2 linked regions of the Coturnix japonica genome follow. The protein of the gene in region 2 purifies or fractionates together with the protein of the main gene of each other region. This does not show direct contact. Links are inferred from orthologs where the notes say so. Each region holds a gene or a part of one and is shown on either strand. Other genes may lie near its edges.

The links.
Region 1: the proteins of ATP6AP1 (region 2) and ATP6AP2 purify together in Homo sapiens (affinity purification with mass spectrometry; 5 studies listed by BioGRID and IntAct, counting the BioPlex papers as one, with this or other methods). This does not show direct contact. The link is inferred for Coturnix japonica from reciprocal best matches to the Homo sapiens genes ATP6AP1 and ATP6AP2.

Annotation. Positions count from the first base shown.
Region 1 is NC_029516.1:101,201,234-101,218,123, reverse strand, and holds ATP6AP2 (renin receptor), read left to right. Parts: upstream 1-9,379; 5' UTR 9,380-9,401; coding exon 9,402-9,510; intron 9,511-10,771; coding exon 10,772-10,902; intron 10,903-11,701; coding exon 11,702-11,830; intron 11,831-12,339; coding exon 12,340-12,435; intron 12,436-12,743; coding exon 12,744-12,881; intron 12,882-13,178; coding exon 13,179-13,232; intron 13,233-14,223; coding exon 14,224-14,373; intron 14,374-14,941; coding exon 14,942-15,058; intron 15,059-15,398; coding exon 15,399-15,593; 3' UTR 15,594-16,418; downstream 16,419-16,890. UniProt on the Homo sapiens protein: Multifunctional protein which functions as a renin, prorenin cellular receptor and is involved in the assembly of the lysosomal proton-transporting V-type ATPase (V-ATPase) and the acidification of the endo-lysosomal system.
Region 2 is NC_029516.1:19,954,416-19,970,531, reverse strand, and holds the start of ATP6AP1 (V-type proton ATPase subunit S1), read left to right. Parts: upstream 1-1,682; 5' UTR 1,683-1,785; coding exon 1,786-1,892; intron 1,893-6,792; exon of another isoform or gene 6,793-6,807; coding exon of another isoform or gene 6,808-6,914; intron 6,915-7,084; coding exon 7,085-7,211; intron 7,212-7,316; coding exon 7,317-7,385; intron 7,386-13,126; coding exon 13,127-13,320; intron 13,321-14,512; coding exon 14,513-14,547; intron 14,548-16,116. UniProt on the Homo sapiens protein: Accessory subunit of the proton-transporting vacuolar (V)-ATPase protein pump, which is required for luminal acidification of secretory vesicles.

The sequences.
Region 1 (16,890 bases), about 81 Mb from region 2:
ATTTTGTTTGCAACGCTTGGATAACTAAAGAATCTACTCAGACTTTTACACTCAAACTGTACTTATCTCCAGCTCAGTGAAAAGGAGAAACTTTCCTTTCTGCTATCTTCATGCTTCCACCATGCTTACCGTAGATCCAAGCAAGCCTGCATTTATGGATTGGACAATGCCCAACAACTATGGGAATTAAAAGATAATAATGTGCTAAAACACGGATTGCCAGAGCTAGACACAGGGGACATGAAATGTTTTTTCCTGACTCTCCAGCTGCTTTGAATTCAGCTGAAACACAGTGTCTTTCTGAGAAACCCAGCAAAAATGGTTTATAGCAAACAAGGTTGGCTTTCTCAAGACTTGGCCAGATGGGGACAGGGATAAGGGACTTTCTGAGGAGGGGGCCATGTTGCTTCGCATAACAAGAAATGGAAAAAAGGGTGGAAAGTGGGGGGCTGTGCTGATTGATTCTCAGATGCTGCTGGCCCTCCCCCAGGCTCTCATTGTGGGGCGCTTGAGCTTGCAAGAGCTGGAGCCAGACAAGCATGGAAAGCAAAGACTTTCTCCTCCTCTCCAACATCATTTCCCTTAGCACATCAGGAGCTCCCTATGACCAGAATGAGCAGCCCAAAGGCAACGAGAGGTGTGAGCACAGCCCTGTTTGTTGTCAAGCACTCAGAACATTTGGATAGGCCTTGGAGCCTTCCATTTTTTCCATCCTAAACACCAATGTATTGCAAGTGCTAATGGCAGAAAACTCCTGCGGTTGGTTTACAGGCAAACTATTGCTAATTCACAAAAGGTACCCAGTGTTTAACTCTGATTGCCTTACCAGTTGATCCACACAGCTCCATACAGAACAAACACATGTATTATCTGTGCATAATTAAGAATCAGCAAGGCTGAGGTATGCAGATCCTCTTTATCTCAGTAACTCCCCTTTCACATCACAATGACCTGAATATCAGCTGCATATACCAGCTGACGTGCAGTCTCCAGGTCGGCCGCCTCTCAGAGCACTGGTATTAGAGCATAATCAAGAAGACATCAGACTTTAACTCATCTTCTCCAAAGCATGGAAACACACGAGCTCATTTATATAATAAAATCTTCTCCTTTTTAATACGGTCTCTTTGTTAGGCATGTTGAGTCTAGTATACCCATGTCCTCTTTAACTTTACTGGCTTATTTGTTTTGCGCAAAGTAGCACAGCACAGATGTTCTTTCTGGACTGCAACTTTTAACTGGCACTGAAATGAACCTTGGCTTTGTTTTATAAAGCTGTGGAAAACCTCAACCTGTGATTACTTTTTTAGCTTTAAAAATGACTTTTATTTTTCACATGCCTTTAGTGCTCTTTAATTGTGCTAGGAATTTAGCTGCATAATTGCCCTGTGTTGATTTGGAAACTACTCTTTCTGCCATAAGATCAAGTGTGCACTTGCAGTGTGGAAAGTTCCAGTTTGTGATTCAAAAGCTGCCATTCAATTAGATATGGACATTTCGACTTCAGTCTGGCAAAAACATTGCAGTGATTTCCCAACATCACAGATGCTTTATCTGCACACAAACCCTCCAGATGCTCGTGCTGTCACATCCATACTTTTGAAGGCTGTCCAGCAGTGCTCCAAGATCCTAAAAGCATTTACAAAATCAAGCTCAACCGCACTCATCAGCAGAGAAATCGCACTGAAATATGATGAGTGAGGACACTGCATGAAAGCAATGACCACAATGGGCTGGCATCAGCAGGAGCTGAGAACCTCTGGATGGTTAGCTCAGGGTGGAAAGGGACCTCCATTGGTCCCAACTGTTTTGTTCTTCAGTCCAACAACCACCATTTGATTTTAAAGAAAGACAAGAGTAGGTTCAGAGCATTTAGGACCTGACTCAAAGCCCTCTGCAATCATAAAGAAAATACCACTGCTTTAGATGGCGCTGGCTGTGATGTAAATGTCTTTGACAAAACAACACATAAAAAGACATAACAAATCTCAATATATTGTCGAATTTCAATTGGAAAACTGTGTTTTCTAATCTTCTATTTTTTTCATACCATTTTATACCAGTTTTAATTTTGCTTGTAGCCCTTTCTGTTTGTTTCAAATTTTGCTGCTTAGGTCCATAACCAAGACCTTACAGAACAGAGCATTTACTATGCTCAGCTGTGAGAAATAAGCATCCCGTACACTACCACAGCCTTGCCCAAATCTCACTCTATGTTTCTTTGTACACCCTGAGAAAGACCACAGCCTCACTCTCATAAGTAAAGGGGAAAAACTGTTTGCTTATCACAATGAGCGAGACTCAAGAATAAAAATGTTGCCTGCACTTACACATGAAAAACAGGCAGTCTCTACTGGGCTTTCTCTGCAAGGAAAGACCAAACCAAATGGATTTTCCCCTGCAGCAACAGAAATTACTGCCAAACTGTCCCCACTGAGACTGCCCATCCGTTTATGTCATCTTCCAGTAGAGAAATGGAGTAGCGCATTGCCCTACTCAGTGCCGCTAGACTGAGATAGATTTTCTTGTTCCGCTCATCATTTTCTAAGGTCTGTTTCTGTCAGTGGAAAGGGCTTGGGAGCATTCTCCAGGCTGTCAGTAAAGGAGGGTGGGGTTTCTGTGAAAAAGAAGTGATGAGCAATCAGAATCAGCCAAATCACTTAAGAGCAGCATTTGGAGGAGTTTAGGGAATTATGAGAGGTTCGTTTCTGAATTTCTTTCAATGCAGTATGTTGAGAGAGAAATAGTATCTGGTGGAAATACCAATTCAGCAAAACATTAAGTGGGTACTTAACGTAAAGTTAAATATAACATTAAAATTAATTGAAGACAAATACAATTCACAAAACTCCCAGGAGTCTTTTCCCTTATTTCTTTGCATGGATTTATTGCTTACCTGACACAAGAAACCACCACACTGAACTAGCCCTACTTTTTCCCTTCCAGGAATGGGACAGAATCTATTTCTTCCCCCCAGAATAAATGCTTTAGGAAAATATATATATATATATCTTCCCCCAGCCTCCTGCTTATGTACAAGATGTAGAAAGGATTACATACAAGGGGTTATACCATGGATTTAACAGATACTCATAATTACATAAGTGTTTTCCCAAATCAGAATTTGGAAGAGAAACTGGAACAAGCAGTAAAGCGCTAATTATAGCCTACTGAAGTCATTGGAGTTGGCCTGGCACTACCATGGCTGAATTTGATCTGACATGAGCACATGTTGAGTGATTTAAAAGCATGTGAGTACGAAGCATCAAAAGGAGAAAATTAGTATACTTTGATATATTCTCATCTCAGAACACTGTGCTCAGGTTCTGAAGTAATAAGTTTGATATAATCTCTCAGATTCATCTATGCCACCCTGTACTCTTTAGAGGCACAGGGGAAAAAAAAACAAAAACATTCCAAAGCAAGAATAATAAATTTTGGATTTGAAAAAATTTAGATCCCAGAAGAGTAGCTTTGCATGCAGATATAAAGTAGAACTGAGATGAATGCTAACCTCATCAACCTCAAGTGAGCCCAAAGGTGGAAAATCTTTGCTTTGCTGAGTGACAGACACCCTTCTAGCTCAGTAGCACTCACTTAAAAGTAAAGCAAAAACAAATCCACAAGATGAAATTATGACACGGGTCACAGCCAGCCAACAGCCCTCTGCTGCCCAAAACTAAACTTGGTGGAACTTGAACCTTATCACAGAATCATAGAATTGTTTGAGTTGGAAGGGACCTTAAAGGCCATCTAGTCCAACCCCCCTGCAATGAACAGGGACACCTACAGCTACATCAGGTTGCTTAGAGCCCCTTCAGCCTGACACTGAATGTCTCCATGGATGGGACATCCACTGCCTCTCTGGACAACCTGTGCCAGTGTCTCACCACCCTTATCATAAGAAACTTCTTCCTTACATCCAGTCTAAGTCTCCCCTCCTTAAGCCTGAAACCATTTCCCCATATTCTATCACAACAGGCCCTGCTAAAGAGTCTGTCCCCTTCTTTCTCATAGCCCTGCTTTGAACACCAGACTGTAACTGCATAAAGCTTAATGCACATATACTGCACACTGTAAAAACCAGCTACCATAGTGGAGCACTACAGACTCCGAAATGGCCCACTCTTTTCTAAGTGCTGTAGTGTTCACAGCCTTGTTTATGGAATGCATTATACAAAGGCTTTTGGCAGAGTTTAAAAAAAGAAAAAAGAAAAAAGAAAAAAAAGCATGATTTAACTAACATACGGACTTCAGCATGATATAGGCAAGATTTGTTCCATTCTTCTGATGTAGTTCCTTTATTTGCCCTATTTACAAAGTTGGGAGAATAACACTCATTCTTCCCTTCTACTTCAGTAGGCTGCTACGTACCATACATGCAGTACACTGAATATGCAAAGCAGTATTCAACTGTGATATCTGGTATCATATTTATATATTATATATAATATATATCATATTCAGTAATTGGAAAATTATGTTCCTTTAAATTCCAACTAGCTTTATTGGAAAATTATTTGCTTTGGAAAAATTGTCTGGCACTTTCAAAAACTGTATTGTGTGATAACTTTGTTTTAGTCCCACCTTTTATTGGTTTGTTAAGCCATTTCATATAGCGTTCATGATGCAAACCATCTTATTTAATGCTTTGATGCTGCCTAACATGTTATTGCGCTGGTCCGCAGAATAAAGCGCTTTTAATACCTCTCTTTCAAAAAACATTTCACTATTACATAAGTTTCCAAAAAATGCTGTCTCAGGACAAGTAATTTATAGATTAACTAATACTGCAACGGCTTCTAAACATCTCCACATTGTTCCAGAGCATTGGCCCAAGACATCACAGCACGAATTTTACAAGCTGTCACGTTTGGGACAAGTGCTGTGATTTATCCACACTACAATGTCTCTCTTCAACAGCCAAGCAGAGTACAGTACAACACAGTGTCACCACAGCATCAGCACACTGGAATGCTGAGTTTATTTGCACAAGAATGTTCTAGGCAGAAGTTTTCCAATGAAAGAGACAGCGTAGTTCTGGGGGTAACCCTTACTGGAACAAAGCTCCTTGTTCATTGTCAAGAGAAAGTGACATTTCTGATTCTGACAGGACTCTTGACTGTAAAAACACGGGCTGAAGCAATTGGCAGAGGCAAGATGAGCTGCTTTGGGGAAATACTGCAATGCTTTCTTACAGCGGCAACTAACTGGACACCAGCGGGACCACCCTGAGATATCAGCAACATTTTTCCGACCAGAGCTGCCAATGAATGTAGCCCTGTATTTCTTACTGGAGGTCAGAGAAAGAATGGGAATAAGTTAAACACCCAGAATTCCTGCACGGTGGCATAGGAGCATATCAGAGGTACTGCACTTGATGTACTTGTAGCTCCCAAACCACCCCTCGGAGCACCCTTACTAATATACTTACTTCAACTAGAAATTTCCTCTTCCTTGAGTAGTCCTTCAATTCCAGCAGGTAATTACAAAACCTCTTTGGCACCAGAACTGTTGTGCTGCAGTGCAAATCCATGTATTCCTTTTGGGCAGACGTTTATGGCATCATAGTCCCAACTCAGGTTTAACAGTGCCGCTGATGCTTCTATATTGTTCCTAGTGAATGTAGCAGCCCTTTGGGCTTCTTTTAGATTCTGAATGGTTTATAGGGAGGTAAATACTTTTACGTTCTCCAAAAGCAGACAGTACAGAGAAAAAAAACAAACCAACACTGAATTCTGCAAATGCACTCTAGACATGGTTACATGATTAATAGACATAAAAGTAGTACATAGGGCCTGTATAGTAGGGTCTTCAGAAGGTATCTGTCCATCAGAAGAACATTTGTTTTCATAGGCTTTACTATGCTTATTTTTTTCTAAGAAATAAGCAAAATTCAGTCTATCAATCTAACATTATTTTTTACACATCTCCAAAATAGTTGTTTGTTTGGTTTTTTTAATCAATTTTCTCCACTATTCCAGATTATTCAGATTATTAACCAGATTGTGAGAACTGTTCCACCAGTTCTAGTAACAGAATTGTTCACCTCAAGGCTGTTTCTTTCTGTGTGATCTCTAGCTTGTGTTAGGACATGATAAGGAAGACATTTCAGAGGCTTATCTTTATATCTCATTTAAAGCCACTTCATTCAAACCAGTTGAGATTATCCATCTCATCCCAAATCCACAATGGCTAGGAGTGCTTCTTCACAGAGCTGGTCAAGCACAGCCCTCCTATTTTTAAGACTTCTTCCTTGTCTACATCTGAGAGCCTCTTTAACCTGTTTGTTTCTTTCATCTTCTCATAAGCTTTTTCTGTTCCCAGAGGTAGGAAATCTCCCTTGACTTGGGCTCCAGAGCAATGGAGACAGAGCAAATAAGGGCAGGGAATGCAGAATTCTTCTGACAATAGCAGCGGCTGGATTGAAATGAGTGTATAATCATGGCCTCTGAGCTTAGATGTAAGGCAGAGACACAGTGCAGCTTGAGCTCACTGAATGCTATCAGCTCACTGATATGGGAGGACTTCTGTTGCCCCGTACCCACCTATGCATCCTTGCCTCTTCCCCTGCCCTAGCTCTGATGCTTATCTCACTTCTCAACAAGTCAGTTCAGCTTTCTGAAGTTCAAGAAAACAAGCTCTGCAAAAATGAATAGTTTCCTGCAGAGCTAAGAGATGGGTTAAAGTAACAACACAGTGACTGCCATCCATGTCAGTGATGCTTTTAGCCACTGTTTACCAGAAAGGCTTGGGAGTGGGGCAGAACTGGGCCCTACAGAAGGGACACCAAACAAAGTGCCCTTGAGAAGCTGTGTTTCGTCTTAACTTTTGGTTTGAGTACAAATCCATACAGAGTGCAGCTGTATTTTCGACCACAAGATGGTGCCAAAAGTGTTCACTATGAAGCGATGCTTACTGAAATCATCCACCAAAGGCTGCTGGCAAATCTGCTTTGCTTAAAAATCCTTTCTGCTAAAATTAAGAAAATATGAATGAAAATTTAATGACCAAATCAAGTATAGTTCACATGCATCATGAACACATCTTAATTTTTCTCCACAGTCTCAGGAAAATCCTGTTGTTTTATCACTTGTGGGCTGAGAAGGCTGCATAGGCCGAAGTACAGGGTTGAGAGGCAAGGCCCTCCTCCATGTCAGCTGCCTCACTGATACCTTATTCTAGCCCTTAACACTGTTCAGGCTGCAAAGGCCACACGATGGGGACTGCCCTCTATGGCATGCTGACCTCCAGTGAGCCCTTAGGCCCTGGCAAAGCAAGAAACAAAGTAGGGGAGAGAACTGACATGAAAACATGGAAGAGTATAGCTGTCATTATATGAAGCATGTAGGATCTAGCAAGAAGAACACTAAAGTAGGCTTCTTGTGCATACTTTGTGACTCAGTCCCACATGTGAGAAAGCTGGCAATCACTTTTAAAGCAAGAAAGCCAGCTATCAACTGACAGAGAGAAAGGCACTTTCACAAACAGGTCTGGAAAACACCTCCACTTTTCAGAGATGGCAGCATTTGCACTTTTCATATTATTTCAGTCTTCAAGAAATCAGCTCTGATGCCGCCTAAGCCTCAGCTCATTAACAAATGGTGTTTTGTTTTGTTTTTCCCCTTAGCCCTTTTGAAATTGAGATGCCTCTGATTAATTCAGTCTTAGTGACCACTGTGGCAGGAACACAGCTTCTTCTCACATAGATAGAATCTGCAAACAAGGACAGGAGAGCTGAAACCACAAAGCAAATCAGTGGCAGAGGCTAACAACTCTTCACTTGAGACTCATTGCTTGCAAGCAGTGTAAATGGACAGCCAAGATAGGCGCATGTGCTTCTAATCAATCACCTCACCTCCTGGCCTCTCAGCATGTCAGCAGTCCCAAAACTGCCTGTCAGGCTCTTGGACTTGCTCCATTCCCACAACACACAGGCTAAGGGATGTCCAACCATACTGTGTTAAGCACATGCTCTGTTAGCATGCCAAGATGAGAAAGTGCCACAGAAGACAATGTTTTATGTTCTCAATTTTGTTTTAAAAGCTTATTCTTTGTGTTTGTATATAAATTTTTTGAGATGGTATAATGCCTGGTACCACAGGGAATGATTCTCGACTTGGTAGCTCTAAATCATAGAATGGCCTGGGTTGAAAAGGACCACAATGCTCATCTAGTTTCAACCCCCCTGCTATGTGCAAGGTTGCCAACAACCAGACCAGGCTGCCCAGAGCCACATCCAGCCTGGCCTTGAATGCCTTCATGGAATGGTTACCCAGTGCCAGGAATTCATTCTCTCCAGCAGAATAGGACTGGCCGTGATAGAATGAACCCAAATGATGAGGCAACAATCCAGTCCAGCCAAATGGCTGGCTCTTTGACTTAGCCCTTTTCTCATACTCCCTCTTCTACCATCTCCAATGCTGTTAGTATAGACAGAGCTGGAGGCAAAGGCAGCATCTAAACATCACATGAGCAATTGCCGCTGCAGACGTTTCTGCACAGCACAGTGCTAACACAGGCAGTCAATTCTGGTGCTTTGCCTACAGCTGGCACTTTGATTTTGTGACTGCTACTACCAGTATATGGCTTAATAAATATAATCTCCGACCTCATGTGCACGTTGTCTCATCTCATTACATTATTTTTCTCCACTTTGCCCTGAGCAGAAGCTCAAAAAGAAATCAGTTTAACAGGATAATGTCACTGCGTGTGGATCTGGTCACAACTACTGCTCACAGGGCTACAACACCCGCTCTTTGCCAAGCACAGCTGGGATCTAAATGAAGCCTGGAGCAAACAGTGAGAGCTCTGGCAGCCTGTAAAGCAGTGGTATGAGGTGCACACACCAGCAGGCACCACAGAGCGTTATCTCACAGTATCACAGAATAGATCAGGTCGGAAGGATCGTGAATCTCCAACCTACCCCACCACATGCAGGGCCACCAACCTCTTTGCTATTTAATACCACACCAGGCTGCCCAGGGCCCCATCCAACCGGGCCTTGGACACATAAGTTCATTAAAACACCCTTATTCGCCCTGCCTTCTGCTTCTACCCCTCACACTTGTAACCAAAGCTCTCTACTTCTCTGTCCCAACCCACTCCAGCCCAGACGCTTCCCGACTGGTTAGTTCAGCTGTCAATCAAAGCCTCTTCCCACCCACCCCGCTCAGAGCCCGCCCACCCGGTCCGCTCCCCCTCCTAACGCAGTGGGCGGGGAAAGGCTCCGATTGGCCAGCTCAGCTGTCAGTTCATCCCAGTGAGGCTCGGACTCCTTATATGGGCGAGTGAGGGAAATGGCGCAGAGCTGTGCCGCGATCTGATTGGCCGAGCGGAAAAGCCATTCAACCCGAGGCTCCTCCCCCACCGCGGCAGCGCCCAGCTGACCGCTGGGTCCCATGACACGGCTGGGAGGGGCGGCGCTGCAGCGGTGTGGTGGTGCGTTGGGCGCTATGGCTCCCCGCGGCCTGGCTGTGGCTGCGCTGCTGGCTGCGGCCTGTCTCACCGGTGAGCACATGGCGACGGGGCGGGAGGGAGCCGGGCTGAGGCGGTGGGGACGGGGTGGGGGTTGCGGTGAATCTCGGGCCTGAGCTGTGAGGAGTCTGTGGCACTGATGCAGTGGCACAGGCTGCACAGGGAGGTGGTGGGGTCGCCATCCCTGGGGGTGTTACAGAGCCGTGTGGATGTGGCACTGAGGGACGTGGGCATGGTGGGATGGGCTGATGGATGGGGTCTTTTCCAGCCTTTTTCCTTCTGCCCTCCTTTTATCCATGCGCAGTACTTTGGTCTTGTGGTGTTTGTTGTAATATGGCTCAGGTTTACTGTCAACACTATGCAGAGTCACAGCCGGGCTTTAAGGCAACGTCCTCAAGGTCAGATTGGTTATCATTTTCCTTAACATTCATTTAACCTCAGTGTACCACCTTATTTTTTTGCTTGTTGATAGACAGATTTGCACCAGGTATGTTTTCAAATGAATTCATGGAAATGGTTTTAAGTTAAAAGAGGGAAGACTTAGGTTGGATGTTAGGGGGAAGTTCTTCACTAGGAGAGTGGTGAGGCCCTGGAACAGGCTGCCCAGGGAGGTTGTGGATGCCCCGTCCTTGGAGGTGTTCAAGACCAGGTTGGACGGGGCCCTGGGCAACCTGATCCAGTAAATGTGTATGTTTGGTGGCCCTGCCAGGCAGGGGGGTTGGAACTACATGATCTTTGAGGTCCCTTCCAACCCAGGTCATTCTGTGATCTGTTAAAATAAATGTCTTGTGGCCTTCTGTGTCTGAGAGGGCAACTGGAGCTGTTCTGCAGGAGCTGGATTGCTACTAGTAGCGCTCTGCTTCAGCCAGCACAGGTGGACTTAGCTGGTCCTATCTGCTCTGGGTTCAGTGGCTCAGGCTGTTCTTGTGCCAAGCAGTTCAGGAAGAGATCAGCTGTGCTGCTGTGTAGCTGCGTGTTTTGAGCCTTCCTGACTTTGCTGGGGGCTGGCTTCACTGGGTCTGCATCGTAACACTTAAACCACTGCTGAGTGTATATATATGTACTGTGCTGTTGCTTTAATCCAAATGTGGATTTGTCCATACTTAGTCTTAGCTATATACAAACCTTATCCTGTGCTCCAGAGCACAAAACCAAATGTTACTCATTACTTAACTTTGCCTAGATGGATAGCTATGAGAAGGACAAGAATGAATGAAAATTCCAGCTTGCTTTGCTTCTGCAGGGGTGAGGGAAAGACTGTATGAAACTGACAGCCCTTTTTCCTTGCTTTTAGGTGTGTGCGGGGATGAGTTCAGTATCTTACGGTCACCTCAGTCAGTTGTTTTTCGAGATGGAGGTTGGCCCATCCCCGGCGATCGGATTCCAGATGTAGCTGCATTATTCATGGGCTTCTCTATTGAAGAGGTATGTTTGAGGTCTTGGCTGTAAAAGGACTCTAGAACTACAGAGCTGCTTGGTTAGCATGCTTCCTGTCATGTGTTGGAATATATAAGATATTGTCCTGTTTATTGTGAGGCATGTGTGACTTAGCAGAGTGTGGTTTCCAAGCACAGAGTTGTATTGGTCATATGAGCAGAAAAAAGGGCTGTGCTTGCTGGCTAGTTTGAGTCATCAGCTACAGAAGGAAGCCAGCCTGCAGAGGCTTTAGCTTTGTTCTTCAGTTGCTCTGAGACCCATCTGCATGCAGTTCCCACCCCTGTGCACTCAGCAGACAAACAGTTTCACTTAGGATGCTTAGGAAATAATCCAAAGACTTGAAAACCTAATTTGTTTGCCAGATTAGACTTTGGAGTATAGCTTTAATGACATTTGATTTGTGGCAGGTGAGTAGGTACCCATGGCTTTATTCCACATTGCCCAGTGAATCTTCTCCTGGGCTTCAGAAGAGGTGAGTGGCTACTGAAGTAGCACATGAAAGTTTTTAATGGCAAGGTGTCTTTATCAATGTCTGTGCAACCAGATACTCAAAGCAGCAAGTTGGGATATTCTTGCAGTGCTAGCTGCTTCCTGTTTCTTCCATACTGCAGCTATGTCATGTCTACATGACAGTAGTTAATTTTGCTATAATGCTCAGGAAGCTTGCCTGCCCTTTGCAGTAGTTAATTTTGCTATAATGGTCAGAATGGGTTCCTTTGACTTCCTCTGAAATACAAACGGTGGTTGTGGTGGTTGTTGTGGTTTATTTTTCACTGTTCTCTAATAGGACCTTCCCTGGCCTGGGCTTGCAGCTGGTGATCTGTTTCACAGACCCCGAGCTGCTGTGTTAGTGACTGTGAAAGGGGTGGACAAGCTGACGTTGCCTGCAAAAGGAATCTCTTACCCTATTGAGAATGTGAGTATGCACATGACATGCAGTCATGCAACTTCTGTAACTAGTAAATTCTGAGTACAAGACTTTCTACTGTAGTGCTTGATGTTATCATCATTTTACCTTTTGCTTGAACCCTTCCCCTTGAATGTTGGGTCAGGCTGTAGCCATGAATAACCCAGTCTGACTCTGACCTAGGCTTTCCTTTTTGGGTTCAATAAAACTGGTTGAAGATTGTCAGAACCAGACCATGTAACATAACTAATGTGCAGAACCCTTAAATATAAAGAAACCTTCAGTCGTGCTCACACTTGTAACTTCATGAAAGTTCTGAAGTGTACTGGATCCATATTTTCTGTATGCTTCTAGTCTTTAATTGTTTCAGAAATTACTGCTGTGGCTTCAAATGAGCTGCCCCAAAGTTGCTCTGGCCAACTACTAGATCTCCAGTATTCATAAATAATTTCAAGTGATCATTGCTGAGTAACTATTTTCTGTTTTACCCCAAAATCTAACCAGGCTTTGTGTTTCAGGCTGTTCCCTTCAGTCTGGACAGCGTTGCCAATGCTATTCATAGTTTGTTCTCTGAGGAAACTCCTGTAGTCTTGCAGCTGGCCCCCAGCGAGGAAGTGAGTACTACTTCGGTTCTGACAGCAAGTGCTCTGGGTAGTAAACACTTGTATGACTGGAACAAAACCAGTTACTATGTGAAAATATTTTGCTTTGGGCATTTTGCAAGTATGGTTGATGATTACTGTGTGGTTTGAGAAGGTAAAGAGCTAAGGAGGACTGTAAAATAAAGAGCTAGTGGAGGGCTGTTAGTTTAGGTAGTATACTTAGGTTGTGGTTGGACTCAGTGATCTTTAAGGGCTTTTCCAACCTGAGAACTTCTGTGATTCTAACTTCTGTTCTTATTGTACAATGGCTGTTCCTGCAGAGGGTGTACATGGTGGGCAAGGCAAACTCTGTATTTGAAGATCTTTCTGTCACGCTGCGCCAACTGCGGAACCGCTTGTTCCAGGACAACTCCATTCTCAGCTCCCTTCCTCTCAACTCTCTCAGCAGGAACAATGAGGTAAAAAAGCCATATTGAGTACTTCCAGAGTCTGTTTTCATTTTCCTAATATGCTTTTCCATTTTATTTTTTTCCCTTTGCTGAGGAGAGCGTCCCTTTTTTTTCCAAATTGACTTCTAAGAACTAAGGTTTAAGTTCTTGTGCGAGTAGCTTTATTAAAAGAATAATTTCCATCTAGCAAGTTTTGATGCTGCAACAGTTACAGTCTGCTCTAAAATATGTAGAGTTAAAGCATAATGAGGCTTCTCAAACTCTGGTGCCATCAAAGCAATTACCCATCTTTGTCTTTGTCCCCAGGTTGACTTACTTTTTCTCTCAGAACTGCAAGTTCTACGTGATATCGTAACCCTGGTAAGGCCTGGTTTTTTTAATAAACACTTTAATTCTACCTGAGGTCTCAGACTTCCCAGACATTATTTAAAGGTAGCAAATCTATGGCCAGGGTACTTGGCAACTATTGATACACACTCAAGCCTGCTGTTATGGCCCTGCAACGGTTTAAATAATGCATTCTTGAGGTGTTTGTTACTGATGGAAGAAAATGAGAACTTCAGTCATCTGTAGTTTCTTTTGTGTTCTCTTTATGGAGAGCAGAGGGCATATAGAATAGAATATATTCATAAAATTACCCAGGTTGAAAAAGACCTTGAAGATCATCAAGTCTAACCGCAGCCTAACCATAGTACCCTAACTCTAACAACCCTCTGCTGAATCATATCCCTGAGCACCACATCCAAACGGCTCTTAAACACATCCAGGGATAGTGACTCAACCACCTCCGTGGGGAGCCTATTCCAGTACTTGACTACCCGTTCTGTAAAGAAATGTTTCCTAACATCCAACCTAAACTTGCCCTGGCGCAACATGAGGCCATTTCCCCTCATCCTATCACTTGTCACTAGTGAGAAGAGACTTGCCCCACTCTCACTGTAAGCACCTTTCAGGTACTGGAAGAGGGTGATAAGGTCTCCCCTCAGCCTCCTTTTCCCCAGACTAAACAGCTCCAGCTTCCTTAGCCTCTCCTCAAAGGGTTGATTCTCTAAGCCCTTCACAAGTCTCATTGCCCTTCTCTGGATGAAGGGGGAAAGACTGCTCATTTTTCTTAAGAAATTATGAGGTAAACTAATTTGTTTTGGTCCTGCAGATCAGAACTACCATAGTTGAAGTCGATGGGAAGATAGGAACAGATTGCATTGCTTGTTTTTGGAGGCTGTTCCCATCTGCAGTCAAATGTTATGGCTGCAGCTGTGGTCGCTCCCAGCAAACTGATGTTGTGGCAATGTGTTTCTAAAGTAACCTATTTGTGAACTAAATTCTTTCTGCCCTCAATGGTGTTCCAAAGCTGTCCCGACACAAGCACTTGGCCAAAGATCACTCTCCAGACCTGTATTCCCTGGAACTGTCTGGTTTGGATGAAATTGGAAAACATTATGGAGAAGACTCTCAGCAATTCAAAGATGCTTCTCAGATTCTCGTAGACACTTTGCAAAAGGTATATTTCCTATCTAACCAACACTGTGTTTGCTGTTTTGGATAAAGGAGTAGGAAGCTATTAAAACTTGTATAAACACGAGCCTGTTTTCCCTAAACAAACATCTTTCACTTAAAGTCAGTATGTTTCTCTGAGGCTGGCTTAGTGAAAAGTCCTTTTTCTCCCAGGATGCAGGGTTTAGTTTCACCTTGCCTCAAAGCTGTATAAATCTAAACATTCAGGGCTCTAAGAGAGTAACTCTTTAGCTGGTCTTACATAGCGACTAGCTAAAATTCTTTGTTAAGACCTGAGGCCGGTATGTTTTGAGTGTCAGAAGTGTGTTGTAGAAGTGTAAAAGCATGAATTTACCAAGTCAAATAACTGTTTAATCTAGGAGATGTTGTAAGCCAGTTGAAACTTTGTTGGTCAAACTATAAGACAGTGGTGTATCAGGTTGTTTTGTTTTGTTTTTTAACAACTTCCCCCAGTCTTGGTAATCCTGAAAGTGACATGTTATGTTTTATTTTGCTAACAAAGCCCTCCTCAGTTCCAGTTGAAGTTTTAAATTAAACTTCTTTTGCTCTTCCAGTTTGCAGATGAGATGTATAACTTGTATGGTGGGAACGCAGTGGTAGAAATGGTGGCTGTAAAGGCATTTAATTCTCCCCTCACAAGAAAAGCTCGCTCCATTCTCCAGTCTTCAGAGGTAGTATCTGTACATGGTTCTCTGTCTAGCCTATTGAAAGTGTGAATGTATCCAAACTGCATCGCTTCCTTACTTGAGTAAAGCTTTGTACTTAAGGAATAGAATACTGACTGATGTTGGCGAGTCTTCATTGACTTTCATGAGGCTCCTGTCAGCTCAGTCCTTTGGATTCCATTAATGTCAGTCACAGAATCACTTCAGCATTTTGTGCCCTGGCATCAGAATCACTAGACAGAAATGCATCTCTTTTATTTAGACTGTTTGGATTTTTGATGTAATCAGCACGTGTTTTGTATACAAGGCAGACTTTAAAGTAATGCACTTCTTTTCTTTGTTACAGGGTGAAACAGATAATCCATATAACCTTGCCTATCCTTATAACTACAACTACTCTGTAATCTTCAACATTATTCTGTGGATGATGATAGGCTTTGCTTTAGCTGTGATAGTAATCTCCTACAACCTCTGGAACATGGATCCTGGCTATGACAGCATTATTTATAGGATGACGAATCAGAAGATAAGAATGGATTGAATTAAACTGTATTCCAGCACAAGGAAATGATGAGTAAGATCTCCCTTAAGTTGAGTGAAAACAAATATGTGGTTAATTGTGGAATTTTAAAAGGTGTATTTATTCTAAGTATCTTTTTTTTTCCCCCCCTCTTAAGCCTATTTTAATAGCAAGTAGCACTAGATTGGATTTAGAAATAGACAGCTACTTGTTTAAAAGAAGTTATAATCCCCCAAGCTGTTATTAAAGTACCATCATTCCATTTCTTTTTTTATCATGTTAGGAAACTAAAACTGAAAAAAATCTTAAACGATGATAGCAGTGTTGTTTGAATCTTTTTCACAAGGAAATGATGAGTTGTAGCTAAATATTGTGTTGTATATTATGAACCAGTTGTAAATGTTTGATGTAAATATTTATAACGTCACTTCGGAGAGGATAGTTGTTATTCTTTAGTAATATATTAAATGCAGAAGTATTTCTATGAGGTTAGGAAACCTGTGGCAGAAATGGCTTTTGGATCACACGATGATGGCTTAAATCTGAACCACAGCCAGAATGGCTGGGTTTACCTTGAGTTTTAATGATTTGCAGATAGTGCGGCTGGCCTATACAGTGGAGAGTCTAGAAATATTGAAGTAGCACCAGTCTGGTCGTGGTGTAGCATTGCATACAGCTCAAAGTTCCTGTTAGGATGCTTCGTATTCCTTCCATTTGTGTTGATATTATTGAAAAATAAAAAGTAGACTTTTTGATGATAAGACTGGACCAACACCTGATTTAAATCTACCTGGATTGTAGTCCTGCTTTTGTCGTTCAATAAAACAATAGTTCCTGGGGTGTTCACTGTTTATTGATTCATAGGTACAGCTGCTTCTCTTCAGTGCTGCTGCTTAGCTGAGTAGAGCAGGTGCAGTCAGCAGGCTGTGTCTGACACTGGGCCCGTTTAAGATAGAGTAAGCTTCTTTGAATTTTCCCATTACTGATGGATGGTTCTTATGTCCTCTTATATTAGTTCTTATGTTCCTTAAGGAGATGCTCAAGCTCCATTTCTGAGATCTCTGCATGGACTTCCTGGTCAGTTACAGCATCTTTGCCACAACGTACAGTTGTGCTGGGATGACCTTGTGTACCAAAAGAAATGAGGAGCTCATGTCTGCCACAAGAATAAGTGTATCTCTGAGGTAAAAAGGTATTATATTGTGATTCTGGTAGGCCAAGTACTGTTGTAACACACATTTTGATAGATTAAACAATCTCTGCAGCTACTGTCTGATACCAGGACAAGCAATAGTTTTGCAATCTGCAGCCCTGTTAG
Region 2 (16,116 bases):
AAAAGCTAGGGTAGGAGCAGTCCATGCTACTTCTCTAGACTGCCAACTGCAGTACGGATCTAGTTTGTTCTGCAAAATGGAAAGTTACGTGAGAAAGCAGGTATCTCACACTCTGAAAGATGCCATGGATAAGTCAACCACCTCTAGGATTACAAAGAATTTTGCTTATGTTGACTGAATGATTTCAATCTATACTAAATTCTCTCGAGGACGCTCCAGTTCTACATCTGTCCTCTGTGGTCTGATTGTCCTTACATGTGTGCTCCCTCAGACATGCAGTGAAAAGGGAGATGAAGGAGTTATGAAATATCTTTGAGGAGGGGAAAGTGCAATAAAAGGGTTAACTTCAGTGTTATGGAAAGGTACGTATACAAGACTGGCTTCATTACTTTCCTCATTAATATTATTTTTGTAACTGAAATCTGATTTGAGATATAATTGAACAAAGTGTCTCATTAGACAACAGTGCTGGAATAATACGCTGTGAATTAAGGCAAATGGACTTGATGAGTCAAGCTATGTGTGCTCTGATTCAGAACTGCATGTCTTCAGCTGGTGTTTACATCCTCCCTTAAAAATTTTCATTGTGCTTCCTTATTTCTCCCTTGTTCTAACTTGTTTTAGCACAGCTAACCATTCCCTTTGTATAACATCCTTACTATTTTGCTGTGCTTGGGATGAGGCACCCATGTGCTCACCATGTGCTGCATGACTCCTGCTGCCTCATGCTGTCAGGTGGTGGCAGAGACAGCTCAGCGCCGGCAGGGATTAAGGAGGACTGCAGAAGAAGCCACTTCCCGGCAGCAGGAGCATCTCTAGGGCAATTTTCTTCTGCAGTGAGCATAATTTGCTCCTCACTTCTGAAATCTGGTACTTTGGGGATAGTATCACTCCATGCAGAAGGTGGATGAACAGTCCCATGTTTTTAGTGGGTACACTCCAAGCATTCCAAGCTTTGTAGCACCTCCATTACAGGGATAGGCTGAGAGAGCTGGGGTTCTTCAGCCTGGAGAAGGCTCTGAGGGAACCTTATAGCAGCCTTCTAGTATTGGAATAGTCCTACAGGAAAGCTGGGAAAGGACTTTTTATAAGGGCACGTAGTGACAGCATGAAGGGAAATGGCTTTAAACTGAAAGAGGGTACATTTAGACTAGATATCAGGAAGAAATTCTTTACTGTGAGGGTGGTGAGACACTGGAACAGGTTGCCCCCTCCCTGGAAGCATTCAAGGCCAGGCTGGATAGGGCTGTGAGCAACCTGGTCTAGAAGGAGGTTGGAACTGGATGACCTTACAGGTCCTTTCCAACCCAAACCATTCTTACGATCCCATTTTCTCACTTTCTCTTCCTTTGCTGGAACCGCAGCTGAGATGTGCTGCAGATTTCAAACCTGTCAACACCCGAATGTGTCACATATGAAGGAGCTGAGGGACACTAACAAACACACAGCAGGGCGAGAAGCGCTGCGGAACACATTTGCTGCAGCACAGAAAACTTTCCTACGAACTCTACTCCGAAGTTCAGCACAGCTGTTATCAAGGAGCTATAGCAAACACGGCGGCGGGGATCTGGCCTTCACGAGGTGAAGCTGTAAGGTGCCAGAGCAGCACAGACACCGAGGCACACAGCGCGGCCCAGCCCGGTCTGGCCGGGGCAGCCCGCCCGCATCAGCCGCCCTCCGCGTGACGGGCGGCCCCGAGCCGGCTCGGAGCAGGAAGTGCCGCGTGCCGGTGCCGCCGCTCGCCCTGCCTCCCCCGGGCCGGCCAGTTCCGCCGGGCGCGGCAGCATGGCTGGGCTGGGGCCCGCCGCGCTGCTGCTGCTGCTGCTGGCCGCGCTGCTGCTGCCCGGCCTGCCCGCGGAGCACGTCCCCGCGCTGCTGTGGTCCACGGGCAGGTAGGAGAGCGAGCGGAGGGAGCGTGCCGCTCTGCGTGCGTGAGGCCGTGGGGAAAGTGCTGCTGCGTGACCGCCTGTGGGAGAGAACCGCTGGCTGCCAACTGACCCAGGGAATCAATTTGCCTCCGGGCACGCTACCTAACGGGAGGGTTTGCCCGTTTATAGTTGTGATGTCGGTGTTCTGAACCGGGCGGTAAGACCCACGTTACTCAGATCCGAAGTGGCCGGGCTTTATTCACTACAAGGCACCCCAGCTGCAGCTCTGCTGGTTTAAAGGCGTAGCGAGGGGCAGCCTGGCGGAGGAGCTGGCCAGGAGCTGCGGGCCGGGCTCACTCCTCCGGCTCCTCCACCCTGCTTTTATCCTGTGTTGTTCTCCTTTCCTTCCTTCTTCTTCTTTCTTTTCCTTATTTTTTTTTTCTTTCTTAACTTTAAATGCAGTTCCTAATTTTAATAGGAAGTACTTCTTTGTGCGTAGTTTTCACTTGTTAGGAATAACTCAGCGTTATCTTATTTGCAAACCCTCCAGTGGAGAGCTCCTGCCCTCTGCACAATGCGTGCTATACCCGGTTCAGCAGCAGGCCTGCTCACAGCTGGGTTCTTACTCATTTCTCTAATATGCACAGTCAGAATTTGGCACACCCCAGCCAGGGGTTCAACCCTATGTACCTTCCTCTTTACCCTTCTGTAAAGCAAGAAGGGAATCTGCCAGTTGGTGATAAGCGCCCTTTCAGCTGCTCGGGCCGTGCTCACTCTGCCTTTCAAGAGGCTTTGAGCTGATGAAGATGTTTAAGCGCAGTGATCTATCTAAGCGCCACCAGGCAGATGGGCTGAACGCTGCTGTCATTTATCACATCCTGCATCTCATGTCTTTGGGCAAGATTACTGAAATTAAGGTCTCAGAGCTAAATCCTTGTGTGTTGTCGTGGTTTTGCTGTTTGTTTGTTTGTTCTTAATGCAGTTGTTTGAAGATAGCGAAAGGAGAGGTCTTATGACCATTAGCAGTTACGCTGTTGAAGTTCTTCAGGGAATTCTCCATGTATAGTGCAATACAAACAAGTATGATACTCTTGTTTTTCCATGCTGAGAGATGCTGATAAATTGCATTTGAAGATGCATTTGAAGATGTAGGAGATGCTTGTTGGGTTTGTTTTTTGTGTATCCTTGACATCGTATTCTTTTCTCAGCAGTAATGCATACCATCTTTGATAAATATCTGCCCATTTCTTGAAAGTTTCCAGGGTGTCGTTAAGCATTTCCTCTGGCCCCAGGCAGCCACAGCATACAAGAAGCTGAAAATGTTCCCATTTCAATGAGTTTCATTAGGTAACTGACCCATAAACAGATATTCCAACATTAAGGTCTTTTGTATTCAAAATACTTAATCTGTTCACCTTCATATAACTCAGTAATGCGAGCTACCTCTATACGTAAAAGCAAAGTAGGTGTTGGAGAGAGTTGTTCTTAGGATAAAAGTGATCTTGAGAGTCTGAGAAAAAAACAGTGCTGCCTTTGGCCTAGTTTATATATATAATACACATGTTGTCAATATAAGCAGTATCCCTGGGAGGTCATAAAACAAGCCTAGATGCAATTAGCAACTCGCTCTACTGCAGATTGTTCAGGTCTGTACAAATATAGAGCAAGAAAATCAGGATGGTGGACTGTTTAAACCAGTTTGGTGTTTCCATCAATAGAAGAATAGAAGTGTTCCTCCTTCTCCTCTGTGTTTTTGAAAGGGGAAGTTTTTGTGAGGGAAAAGATGTTTCTTGTGAAATCCTTTGAAGTTGCAGGAAAGGAGATTTATGTTAATTTATAAAATAAAGGAACAGTGACAGAAACTTTTGTTTGCATCTTGGTGTTTTGTGGCAATGTGAGGTTTACGGTGGGTGTTCTGCAGCCCTCTGCAATGTGGGAGCTGCTGGTGAGAGTTTCTGGAGGGGGTGACTGAAGAAGTGCAGTAATTATTGGTGGGTTTCTATTAACTTTGTGAAAAAATCCCTCCGATTTAAAACTTCAATTTCATCCATTGCCAGACAGGAGTTGAGATGCACCCATCTGTTCCATCACCTGGGTTATCTGTCAGGACACCATACTGAATCCTTAAGGGATAATACAGTGTTTGAAGAGCTGCAGTAGGAGAATACGTCGTCTTCAAATCTCTCATGTTACTGTACTGTGATCGTGCTATTCAAGGTTAATATTAGACAAGAGATGCAGAGGTTTATTATATATATTTTTTTGTACCAAACAGCAATCTTCCCCCATTGCATTCGGAAAGATGAAGGGAATAAGACAGTAGGTCATGGTGTCCTGCTTTTCACAAAGAGATACCAAATTATCAGTGGGCATTTTCCAAAATAACTTTGCCCTGGGAAAATTAGCCTTATCTTAAATCAGACTTTAAGCTGAAGCCGTTAATGTTGCTGCTTCCCAGAGCAGGAGGGATGGGGGAGAGGTTCCTCTTACATGTGATTCAGAACGGAAACATGATTTAGCCATTTTGAAACAGTATTCAAAAGAATTTCTTTCTCTCCACAGATAGAGAGAGCCTGAGGAAATAAACTCATTAAAAGTAGTTTCTGTGATTGCCCTCCGTGTGCCTCTGTTTTTTGCTTGTAGCCACTGAGAATTTATTACTACCTTCGTTTGTGCAGCTCTGTGAATCTTTTTTGCTGGTATATCCAGATTACAAGTGATTTTGAGAAAGTGTAAGTGCCAAATGGGACATCTGCCATGTTTCCTCAAGCTGCAAGGAATTTACTGAAAAATCTTGCTGGGAGGAGGTGTAGCTTAGAAAGGAGATGGTGAAAACAGTGTATTATTTTAGCTGTAAGTTTTCTGGACTTCTGTGCCGATGCTCTGAGCCTATGTGTTTGCTTGAGGAGCCCCTTGAGTTGTTCTTTCTTGTAGTCACCAGTTGTCAATGTACTGGTGCTGCTAGGAGTGGTGACACGAGCTTTTTGTGCGGAATATCATTGCCAATGTTTTATTAATAAACTTACTGGCTTCTTCTGTGCAGGGGAAAACGGTATTTCTTATGTGGTAATCTAATGTGGTAATAGTGACTAAAAGAGACCACGTACAAGAATAACTTGTAGGTGGGAGTTCAGATTGCAGCTGAAGAGTAAGTATGTATTGTTGACAACAGGCCCAAGTGAGGAAGCCCTGCTTGTTTACCATCTGTCCTCTCAGAGGTCCAGATAGAAGAATTGTTGAAATCTTTGCAACCCCTTCTGCCTATGAGGAAGACACATCAATGCTGTAGTAGACTGCATGCTTAGGCTTCTTGCCCAAGCAGTTAAGAGCAAGAAGGAAGCAGAGAACTCTTTTCTTTACCACACTGTCTGGCTACAGAGTGAAGCTGAGCATTGAGCTTCTGCATTTCTAGCCCAAGGAGAGCACAAGCACTAGCAGAGGTCCCCATGGCTGAAACACGGCTGTGCTGCAGGATGCAGGGCCTGCTGGGCCTGCAGATGGCTGTGCTGCTCTGAATGTCACATTTTGCGTGAGCCATCAATAAATAGCAGCAATCAATACATGTGCTGGCCTACTGCCTACCTCATCCTCTGCCATCTCTCACTCAGACACTGCTGGAGGTGAAGAGTTCAAAGGAATAGTTGGGTTCATTGCAGGCAGTAATGCACACCCTCAGCGTATCCACCACATGGGCACATATCTCCATTTCATTCTGCACTTAATGGTAAGCAGCCAGCAAAACACATCTGACATTTCCCATCTGACCTGTGGTGAGAGTTCTGTTGCACCATGGTACCGGCTCATTAGGTGAGGCACACTGTGCAGCACCTGGCAGGCTAGTGAAGGGAAACAAAATACGTGTATCAAATGGGAAATAGGAGGATTAGGCAAACACTGTACTGTGGTAGAATTATTAACCAGCTGAGCGAGATTTATTTTTCTAATGATGCCGCTGGAGCTATTGAAGTTTATGTCTGAAAGCTAAAAGATCTCACAAAAGGTGCTTTTGCAGGTTAGATAGCTTGCAAGGGCTGCTCCAAGGAACAAGGAAGCCTTAGAAGAAAAGAACGGTTCAAAAGAGAATCATTAAATTTCGGAGGGTTTTAAGACAAAAGCCTTGTTATTTTTTTTTTTTTTACTTAATTGCAAATCCAGAGGGTTCTCAAAATCTTCAAGTTTTTTTTAATGCTAGACAGGTAAAAGATGTTATCAGTTACCTGATTTGCAAAAATAAACATAACAAGGTATTCACTATCGCTTCCCTTCATACAAACAGTTCTTTAACATTTCCCAATTGAATCTATCTTCTTTTCCTTCAGTATTACTAGTATTTTCGTGTAGCCCTGCACTCCTTAATGTCCCTCTAAAATGTTACTCAGCTGCTGAATTTAGGATCTTTGAGAGTTTTTTCTTCAAATTCTTTATTCTTAAAGTTTGTATGAAAATCTGTGACATCCTGAGGTCAGCCTTCTCGAAAAGTTATCACGTCTATTGCAATTTCTAAGCTCATGGTCTTCAGAAATACAAATTAATGTGGATTGCTGAGCACAAATGAACACAGAAATGAAGGAGCTGAGGAAAACTAAGGAAACGCTGAATGATAATTTCTGCCTAATAGGAAGAAATTTCGTTCTTGCACAGCAGTGTTTACATCTAGAGCTGAAAAACAGATAGGCAAGAGGCATGGTAGGATCCAGTTTGAACATCTGCAGCACCTGGTCTTGGAAAAGTCCACCAGAAATAGCATGGGTTCTAGTACTTGCCCAAATCTGAAGGGAGTTGGATATCCACTGCTGTACAATTACATCTTTCTTATCTCTGCTGTGGATGCAGTTGGAGGCTTTGGATTCCCTTTCTGTAGTAGCTGATGCTATATTCTGTTCTTTGCAAATAGCTCCTTTCAGAGGGACCAAAGTACCAGATTTTCAGGCCATAGCAAATGATATGTGCTTGTGGAAGAGGAGAGCTAAAGCTTCCCGGTCTGAGTTTTGTATCCTGTCTGGACAAATTTTATTCCTGCTGTAATCCAGTTCACAGGATAAGGATGTAAGTGGGCAAATTCTTTTCCTCTTAAGTGGGATAAAAGTAAACTGAACAGTAAACACGATCTTCATCCAAAGGTGATGATATCACAAACTGGTTCTGAGCGTTTGAAGAAAGGAGCTGTGTCATCCCTGGCAGCAAATTCAATGTTTAAAAAAATATTTTCTTCGCAGGCCCCAGTGGAATCCAGACCCTGCTTTGCATGAAGGACACATTGTCTCAGCGCAGGAGCTGGCTGTACTTCTGCAACCTGTTTTTACTCCAAATCCCAGCAACCTTGTTTTGTTCTTTCAAGAGAGGGTATGTAACATTAATTCCATTTCCTTTAGCAGTGCCAAGTTTAAGTCTGTATCTGCATGAGATAATATGGCTCCTTCTCACCAATCTGCTCTCTTTGTTTTTCAGCTTAGCGTAGACGATTTCACGTACTACAGTGAATCCTATGGTAACAAGAATCCATTTCAAAATGTTCAGGCAAGCACTTCTCTCTTTTTACTTCCTTATATGCGTGTTTTTAAATTAAAAATTATGTAAGAAGGGTGCAAACAGACAGTAACTGGCAATATTAAACTAAGCTGCTGCAGTTTGCCTATTTATTTATTTATTTACTGGGATTATTTCAGTTTGAGCATATGGGCTTTTGTGTCTGTTTTATTTCAAAAAGTAGGTTTTCAGAATTATCTTAACTGAAAATAATCTTTCTAGGCATGTTGCAGTTTTGAATAATAAAAAAAAACTTTGTCTAGACATAGACGTAATTCCCAGACTGGCACCCCAAAATAGTGTTTTGAAGCCACACAAAGAAGAGAAGTAAGGAATCAAGTATGTACTCCAGATTTTCAAAACTGAATACTTATTTTATCTTCATGCAAAGTGCAGCTGACTTATCCAGACAGTTAATTTATTCCTAGAATCGTAGAATATACTGAGCTGGAGGGGACCCATAAGGATAGTCAAGTCCAGCTCCTGGCTCCTCACAGAACCGCACATAAACATGTGTGAGGACATTGTCCAAGTGCTTGTTGAACTCTAGAAAGCTCAGTGCCACGACCAGTTCTCTGGGGAGATGCCCTCTTGGTGAAGAACTTTTTGCTGATAGCCAGCTTGAATTTTCCCTTGTTGCAGCTCCATGTCATTCCCTGTTTGAAGAGTGTGACTATATGCCTAGATACTGGATTACTTTAGTATCTGTACTACTTCAGTAATCCAAAATATATTCCAGACACAGACTCTGAGCTGGTCATGAGCTTAAACTTCTGTTCCTGGTGAAAAGGTTTATAGATTTTTTGCTTAGTATCTGTGGTTGAACTTCCTTGACAGTTTATTGAATTGTTATTGGAAAAAGGAAGTGTTCATACCTGAAAGTCATTAAGGTGTTCCTGTGGGCAGTGCAGGAGGAACAGAGCTGATATCAGAGCACATGAAGTGTTAATTCTTAGTCACCACGTAGCAAGCTGTATGTATAGTCAAATATATAAATATTCACATATTACTTGTCTCTACATTTATACTGTCTAGGAACCTCACATCTTCATTGTATCCCTAATACAAACCTTCATCTCTTTGCCATATGACAGCATTTTAACAATTATGCTGGAACTAAAACAACTATTCAGTGTAGGTACGTGGCTTTTTTGAGGCGAGAAAGGGAGTAATATTTATCTGCAGCATAAGGATTAGCGACTCCATCCTCAGGCAGATGTATTGGTACTTTTCTGGAATGCTGTACTTTCTCTCTGGGTTCCAAATCTATGCACAATGGTGTCTGAACTAAATTTTGTTTGCGTTTACGTAACTGTAAAGCTGGTTTGATTTTATTAAGAAGCTGTGTGTACATGACTGCTGCAAGTCCCTAATGATGTATTGGTCTGCATCATGTTTAAGTGAGTCTTTGGTCAGTATCTGGCAGAAGAAAGTTTTGAATTCACATTCTCAGCAAGCTGAACTCATGTCAGTAACAGTTCACTTGCTTTCAGACCTTGACTCTGTTTCTTTTCTGTCTTGGAGTGGATAAACTTTTTCCAATTGCAGCTTCTTTGAAACTGGGAAGTTTCTTTCAACAAATTGGTAACCTTAACTCTAGCATTTCTTAGATTTGTTCTGGATTGGGCAATCTTAACACCTATCTAGCATAGTTTTCTGAGGATGAATTGCTCATAGAAAAAAGAAAATAGGAAGTGAAAGAAAATAAATGAAGTACTTGTTTTTCATTTACATGCCCATATGGATAATTTTGACTCTGTCTATCTGTGTGCATCATCATATAGCATTTTAGGTGTAGAAGGGATCTTCATAATCATAGAATGGTTTGGGTTGGAAGAAACCTTAAAGATCATCTGGTCATCCAGTTCCATCCTGCGTGCAACAAAGACTACAAAATATGCTCAGTAGCTATTGCATTGATTGTGCTCCAATTGAGTTACTTTGGGAAAGAAATCCCTTCTTAATCATGCCACAAAAGACTCTACAGTAATACTCACAGAGCACTAGACAAAGAAAAGGTCAGATCTGGATTTTCTCACTAGGTAAATTAGAATCTTTCATGTTGCATAATCTGAAAGTTTTATACTTTCACAATCTAAGCTATGGAAGGGATTCTTTAAACTATTATAGATGTTCTGTACCACTCCAGCATATTCCTTTTAAACTTCAGCAATTCAAATTTATTCACAAACTTAATCTGGAGATCTCCTTTAGTGAGTGTATGTGCATGTAGCAGCACGTGTACTACAAAAAGAATGTAATATTTGTAAGAGTTATAGACATGTAAACCACATTTGCAGATATTAGATTTGTTCAGCTACATTAACGGCTGGAATCAGTGGTTTTGTATGCAATGAAAGAATTCCATTTCCACTTAATATAGAAAGGAGTCTTGTAGATAGATCATCTATCTTAAATATTCAATAACTTTTTAATTGAATAATAAAATACAAAGATTAGCATTTCGGGATTTGGTGTGTGTGTTAAGTAGCCACCTATTCTACAAACTGTTTTTCTTTAATATTAGCATTGGCTTTCCCCAGGCAATAACCGAACTCCTTAGAACTGCAGCGTACAGTAGCAAACTCCCATTAGTTGCTAGCTGGGTGGCTGCATGATTATTATTGTAAGTCATTGCCTACTGTGGTTCTGGATCTCCATCATATTCATCATTCAGTAGTCATTTCTCCAGACTGTGGAATACTACTCAGTCACATTCAGCACAGAGGCCCTACTGTAGATTTGTCTTTGTTGCCTCTTTCAGTTTTATGGGTTTGTTCATTTTTGGTGGTTTTTTTTTGTTATAGACAGGGGAACTTGCAGAACCGCACGTGCAACAAGATACAAGTGCATCATAATTCATTCAGTCTCGTGGTGATTTGTTCTGTATCATTCCCTAGTATTTTCCATAAAAACCTGCTAGTATTTTGTTTTGATCACTATCAGATCTGACACTAGGTTTCCTATGTGGAAGATGGCACTCAGTTCTCAGTTCTCACACCTACCTTCAGAAAAAACCTGAACAGTGGGATATGTAAACAAGTCATGGTGCTTCTTGCAGTATTTCACTCATGAGCGGTCCTTCAGGAGATGTTACAGAAGGCAAATTAATCTGAGCAATTTGTAGATCCATTAAAAATTCTCAGTGTAGGAATTTGTGCTATCAGTCATCAGGTCAGTCGGAGGATTTTTTTCCCCTGTTCCCTTGCCAGCTACTATGCGGTTATACCTTTTTGTTTAGACGTTTTGCAGAATGCAGTGCCAGGTGTTTCTCAGTCGTCCTCTTCACTCTCTGTCCTCTTCTGGAGGTTTGGTATTTTGAATGCTCGTGGTACCTGAAATGCCAGAATGCTTAGAGCAACATACTGGCATTTTAAGAACAAGTGTACAGTGGTCAAATGTCAAGATGCATGTGATCAAAATGTCTGTCTGATGCTAATGAGGAGATATCCAGCTGTGTGTGCTCTTCGAATGGAAAATGGTTGAATACAAATGGCTGGAAGCTGAGACAGATGGCACTGCAGGATTGGTTAGAAGCAGAGGCACAGCTCAGACATTACTCAGTAATTATGCATTTTATCTCTTATTCTATAATAAATGAGTAAACTGCTTAATATATATCCTTGGTAGAATTGGCTGTTGCCATTCTGGCTGCTGCTAAGCAGTGGGGGATTAAAATATTAAAAGAAATAATTGACTGTTGGAATGTTGCTCAGGATTTTAGCTATAAATTCATATATGCAAAACAAACTAGAAGTGAATATATCATCCTTTCCTTCTAGGAGGTGCTAAGCACCCTGCTCAAAGACTTGTAAATGAGATCGGTGTTTTCTGATCTATTTTAGTTTCTGTGGTTATTTTTCTATCAGTATGGCAAATCAGTCAATACTACATAGTCCTCCTGTATGAGCATCTATGGAAATGTGGAAATAACTAACCTTTACTTAGGAAGGAAAACGTGCAAGCATTTAGAAAGGAACTGAGGAGGCCAGAAAAGTGGTAGGCAGTCAGAGAACAGACAAAAAGAAAAAAGAGTAGGAGGGGAAAAGTGTTAGCAACACCACAACACATATCACTAAGTGGGAGAAAAAGAGTCTCTAACAACTCGGATATTTGAATGTTGGATGAAGTGACAGACTTGATCTAAGAGTTAAATATAAAAAATGTGAAAGCAAAGTTAACAAGTTGTAAACTGGAACTCAGGAAAAAAATGTTCAAATCTTCGTATGAAATTTTGTGCACATCAGTTTTGATCCTTCTCAACTCTCTGTCATTTATGTTCTTACCCGGAATTTTTCAAGTGTATTTTATCGTTCAGAAAAATCTTTGGGAAGGTGTTTTTCAGCTGTGCAGGCTTCAAATTTATAGAACAAGAATGTTTAGAATTCATTTTACTCAAGAGTTCTCATCAGAAACTCATCAATGAGAATTATAATAGATACCCTGGTGCTTCATTATTTGAGCCGTCTCAGCCTGAGCCTTGTAATCTGTGTTTTGAATAGATAGACAGAAAGAAAGCACTCAATATGAAGTTTGTGTGTGCCTCCATACCAAAAAGAGAATCGTTCAGTTCAATTGGGAGGGACCTTCAAAAGTCCAACTGCCCGACTTCTTCAGGGCCAGTCAGGAGTTAAAGTGAGGGTATTGTCCAGATTTTTAACACTCACAGGGAAGGGGATCATCTGCCACTATAGGAAGTCTGTTCCAGTTTCTAACATGAAATTTTTCATACTGAATCTCAGAATGGTGCATTGAATTTCTCCTGGTGCATCTTTGTTCTGTTCCCATGCATTCTATCATTAGATCCCAGGAGCAGAGCGTGGCAACACCCTCTCCAGTTTCCTTCCTCAGGGAGCTGCAGAGAGCAATGAGGTTGCCTCTTGGCCTCATCCAGTCTAGACAGCTCAGGTGTCCTCAGCCTCTCTTGTCACTGGACATGCCTTCCAGAGGTCATACATAAACAAGTTCCTTGTTTAGCTAAGTCAGTGTTCTGCTCTGCTCTCTTGACTTACGATACAATGGGTTTACATGCTAGTGGGCTTTTAAGAGGTGGTTCTTGAAAAGTAGCCAGCTGTCCTGGACCATAAACCCTCTCAAGCAGAACCCCAGGGCACAATGTGAACTGGCTCCTTGAATGCTTAAGGTTTGCTCTCTTAGAGCTCATGGTGACAACTGTTGTGTAGATCCTAAAATATGCAGATTTGTTTAATTAATAGTTACGAATTAGACATCATCTGTATTGCACGCTAAACCACAACACAAAGGAAGGTAATTTGTTAAGTGAAGTATCACTCCCTACTAACTAGAGCTGAAGTTTCCAACATTGATGGTTTTCACCTACGAAGCCATTTATTTCCTGTCTCATGGCCCTCTGATGCCTCATCTTTTTGCCTCATATTCTCCAGTACACTCTCCACCTTCTTCCTCACCTTGAGAACTTCCGCACCATCTGCCTCTCCTTTTCCATTATACTCATGGAAAAGGCAGTGAGATTTTGAGGTCACAGTGTGTCTTAAGCTTGCTCCAAAACAGTGCAGGAGTATGAGTGATGGAGATGTCAGTTCACTGCACCTTTCCAGGAGCAGCCTGCAGCCAGCATCAGGCTGGTGAGAGCTTACTAAGTGTTTACCACGCTGTTTTCTCACCTTTAATATTAAATGAAGGATAGAGAAAATAAATGATTTGTGTTTAATATTAACTAATTAAATAAACTGTCTATACATTTGTTACAGGAAATTCTTCAGTCTTCGCCTTCATCTTTAGTTTTGCCTGCTGTTGACTGCAGGGCTACCAGGGATCTTTTGAGCTTTCTTCAGGCATCAGGAGATTGGGATTTGAAAACCTTGACAAATCTTGATATCTCTCAGCTGGAAGTGAATGCATCTAAACCATTCTTACTTGTAACTGAGCTACAACCACCTACCAGGTAGGACCTTGTCACAAACACATTGACCCAAATGTATGCAAGATTTTTACAGCTTTTTGAAAATATCAGCTATGTTCGGGAAATTTAAGAATCCAAAGAGTAGTTTACAGAGTTAACAAAGTTACTTTTCCAGCAAGTGTGAATTCAGTGTTTTTTAATGTCCTCTGATGAGCTTACCAGGTATAATAACTGAATTACATTGAGAAAGTCAGTCATGCATTACTATTTTGTCTGCTTCATTATATGAGAACAAAGGGACAACTAATAAACTAAATGGCAGCACTCTTTAAGCAGAAAAGCTGAGTTATTTTATGCAACATGTGATTAACCTGCTGAATTAATTGCTAGAAGACATTCCAGGGGTCAAAGAACTGGCAGGAAAGATAAACAAATAAACATCCTAGAATTTAGTATGAATAAGAAGACTGGTTTTCATCAGTCTTAAAGAAATAGGAAGGCTATAAAGCTTCTTGTTTCCTGACCTGTAACTGCTGCCTAATGGAGGCAAAGTCTTCCTTTCAGGTGAATGCTAGTGTCTGGCTGTTACCTGTAGGGCTTTTACACCACTGTGGATTGTCTGGTATAGAGTACTCTTGGCCACTGGCTGTGGGTCATGGAGCTGATCTAGATTGTCTGCTATTTGTATCATGTCATACTGAAAGCTGTGAAGTCGTACTGAGGACAGCATTGTTGGTGTAGGAAGTATAAGGCATGGGTACAGTGAGCCCAGAGTCTCTGCTCAGCTTATCCTGCACTTTCCTTCTCCTAAACTGTTTCTTGGGCATTTATACATGTCGTTGTATGGTGCATATATGGCTGGGCCCTAAGAGTACGCAATTAAAAATTGCACAAATAAAGATGTGAGGCCCATTCAGAAGAGCTCATGTACAAATTTCAGACTAATTAACACCACAAAGTGCAAGGAAATCTGAGGAGAGAATGGTCAAAAGATCAATGATTTGGCTTCTCTGCAGCTAAGGACATTTGAGGGTTTGGAGGAAGCAGCTAAAGATGTGGTCCTTGTATGAAGTGCTGTGCAGAAGAAGTTCATAAGGAGGAGATGAGAAAAAGATGAAAAAACTTTGTAGTCTGCTGAAAGTAATGTGCTGATTAGTATATACCTGTATACATTTCTGATTCACATTGTTGTCTAGAAAAAAAATTTAATTATTTTTCTCCCACTTCTTTGTAGTGAGATTTCCACCCTGGAAGCAATTGCTGAAAATGGTAAGCAATATAGCCAGGACATAACAACATTTCACCACTTAAGCCTGTTTTTGCTTGAATAGATTGTATTTCCTGTTTTTTCCAGATTTTGTTATAACACTATTTAAAGCTTTTTCTGCCATCTACATGCCTATAAGCAGCCAATTATCAACCTGTTAAACTACTGAGTAACTAATTCAAAATCCACTGAATTGGATACATCTCTGTGTCTTGAAATGTGGTGATTATTCACCATTGCCATAGGCATTCCAAATCCCTGCCGTGGACAAGGCACCTCCCACCAAGTCAGGCTGCCCAGGGTCCCATCCAACGTAGCACTGAACACCTCCAGGGATGGTGCATGCACAGCTTCTCTGGACCACTTATTTCTGTGCATCAGCAGCCTCTGAGTAAAGAATGTCTTAATTATATCCTAAATATACCCTCTTTCAGTTTAAAACCATTACTTTTCAGTTCGTCCTTCTTGTCTCCAAAAGCTTTGACTTAATGTTGGCCTTGGCTAAACATTACCATCTTTTTTTATGGGACATTTCTTTCATCAGCTGCACAAGCACAAGAACAGGCCTCCCAGACCCTGTTTCAGGCTGTTTTTGTTTTGGAACAGCAAAGTTAATGGGAGACCTTTGGAGTGACACAGGAACAGGCTATACCAGCTTTGTGATTAGTGTCAACTACCTGCTCTCAGGAAAAAGGTGTGTGGATTGCAGAAGATGTGCTGCTTCGTATGGCCAAGTGCAAAATCTTTGCACTGTGTTCAGAGCTGCAGTTATGCTCTAGAAAAGTGATAATGTAGGCTAAATACTCACGTTCTGGCACATCTGAACACACTGCAGAGTAGAACCTGCAGATGTCATCAGCGGGAAATTTTAATTCACATGCAAGCTGCTGAGCTGCAGTTTTTTAAAGTTATCCTACTGAAATCTATGCAGTGGAAAGGACAGACTTGGGAGGGTCATAGCAAAGCTGCCAGAGAAAGATCCCAGTTCCCGTGGTCGGGCAAGTGTGGGTGTCCAAGCACTTGCTGCCGGATGACCATAGCCATTTGCAGAATACTGTTGTCAGGACATCTGTCAAGGTCAAAGGGGCTTGCAAGGCCATGAATTATTGGTGTTTGTTATGGAGTGAGTGCTGCTAGCACTATCTGGATAAGCAAACAAAGATACCAAGGTGTGTATCACATCTTTAATGTGACAAGAGAATTGTTAACCAGTACAGTACTGCTTGTAATTTTTGCACAGTATTAACTGTAAACCCATAGTAAACGAGGGCAGATCTGTATTATCCTGCCTAGAAGTTCGCAAAGACTCTTGTTTGTCACATCAACTTAATTCCTTTCTGCTGTAGAGGGTTTTAAAATCTGCTGCTATCAGACATCAGAGAAATCTCTCCTGCTGTTTTACTCACTGCAGACAGCAGTCTCTGTCAGACAGAGCAAATGGGCTCAGATTCTGCCCAGAGGAAATGTGTGGTTCTGAGCACTCCAGGAGCTGGACTAAGGAGGAGTTTTAGCACGTTATTAAAATGAGACTCATTACAAAATCCAAACTGGAATTCAGAATTCAAACCCTC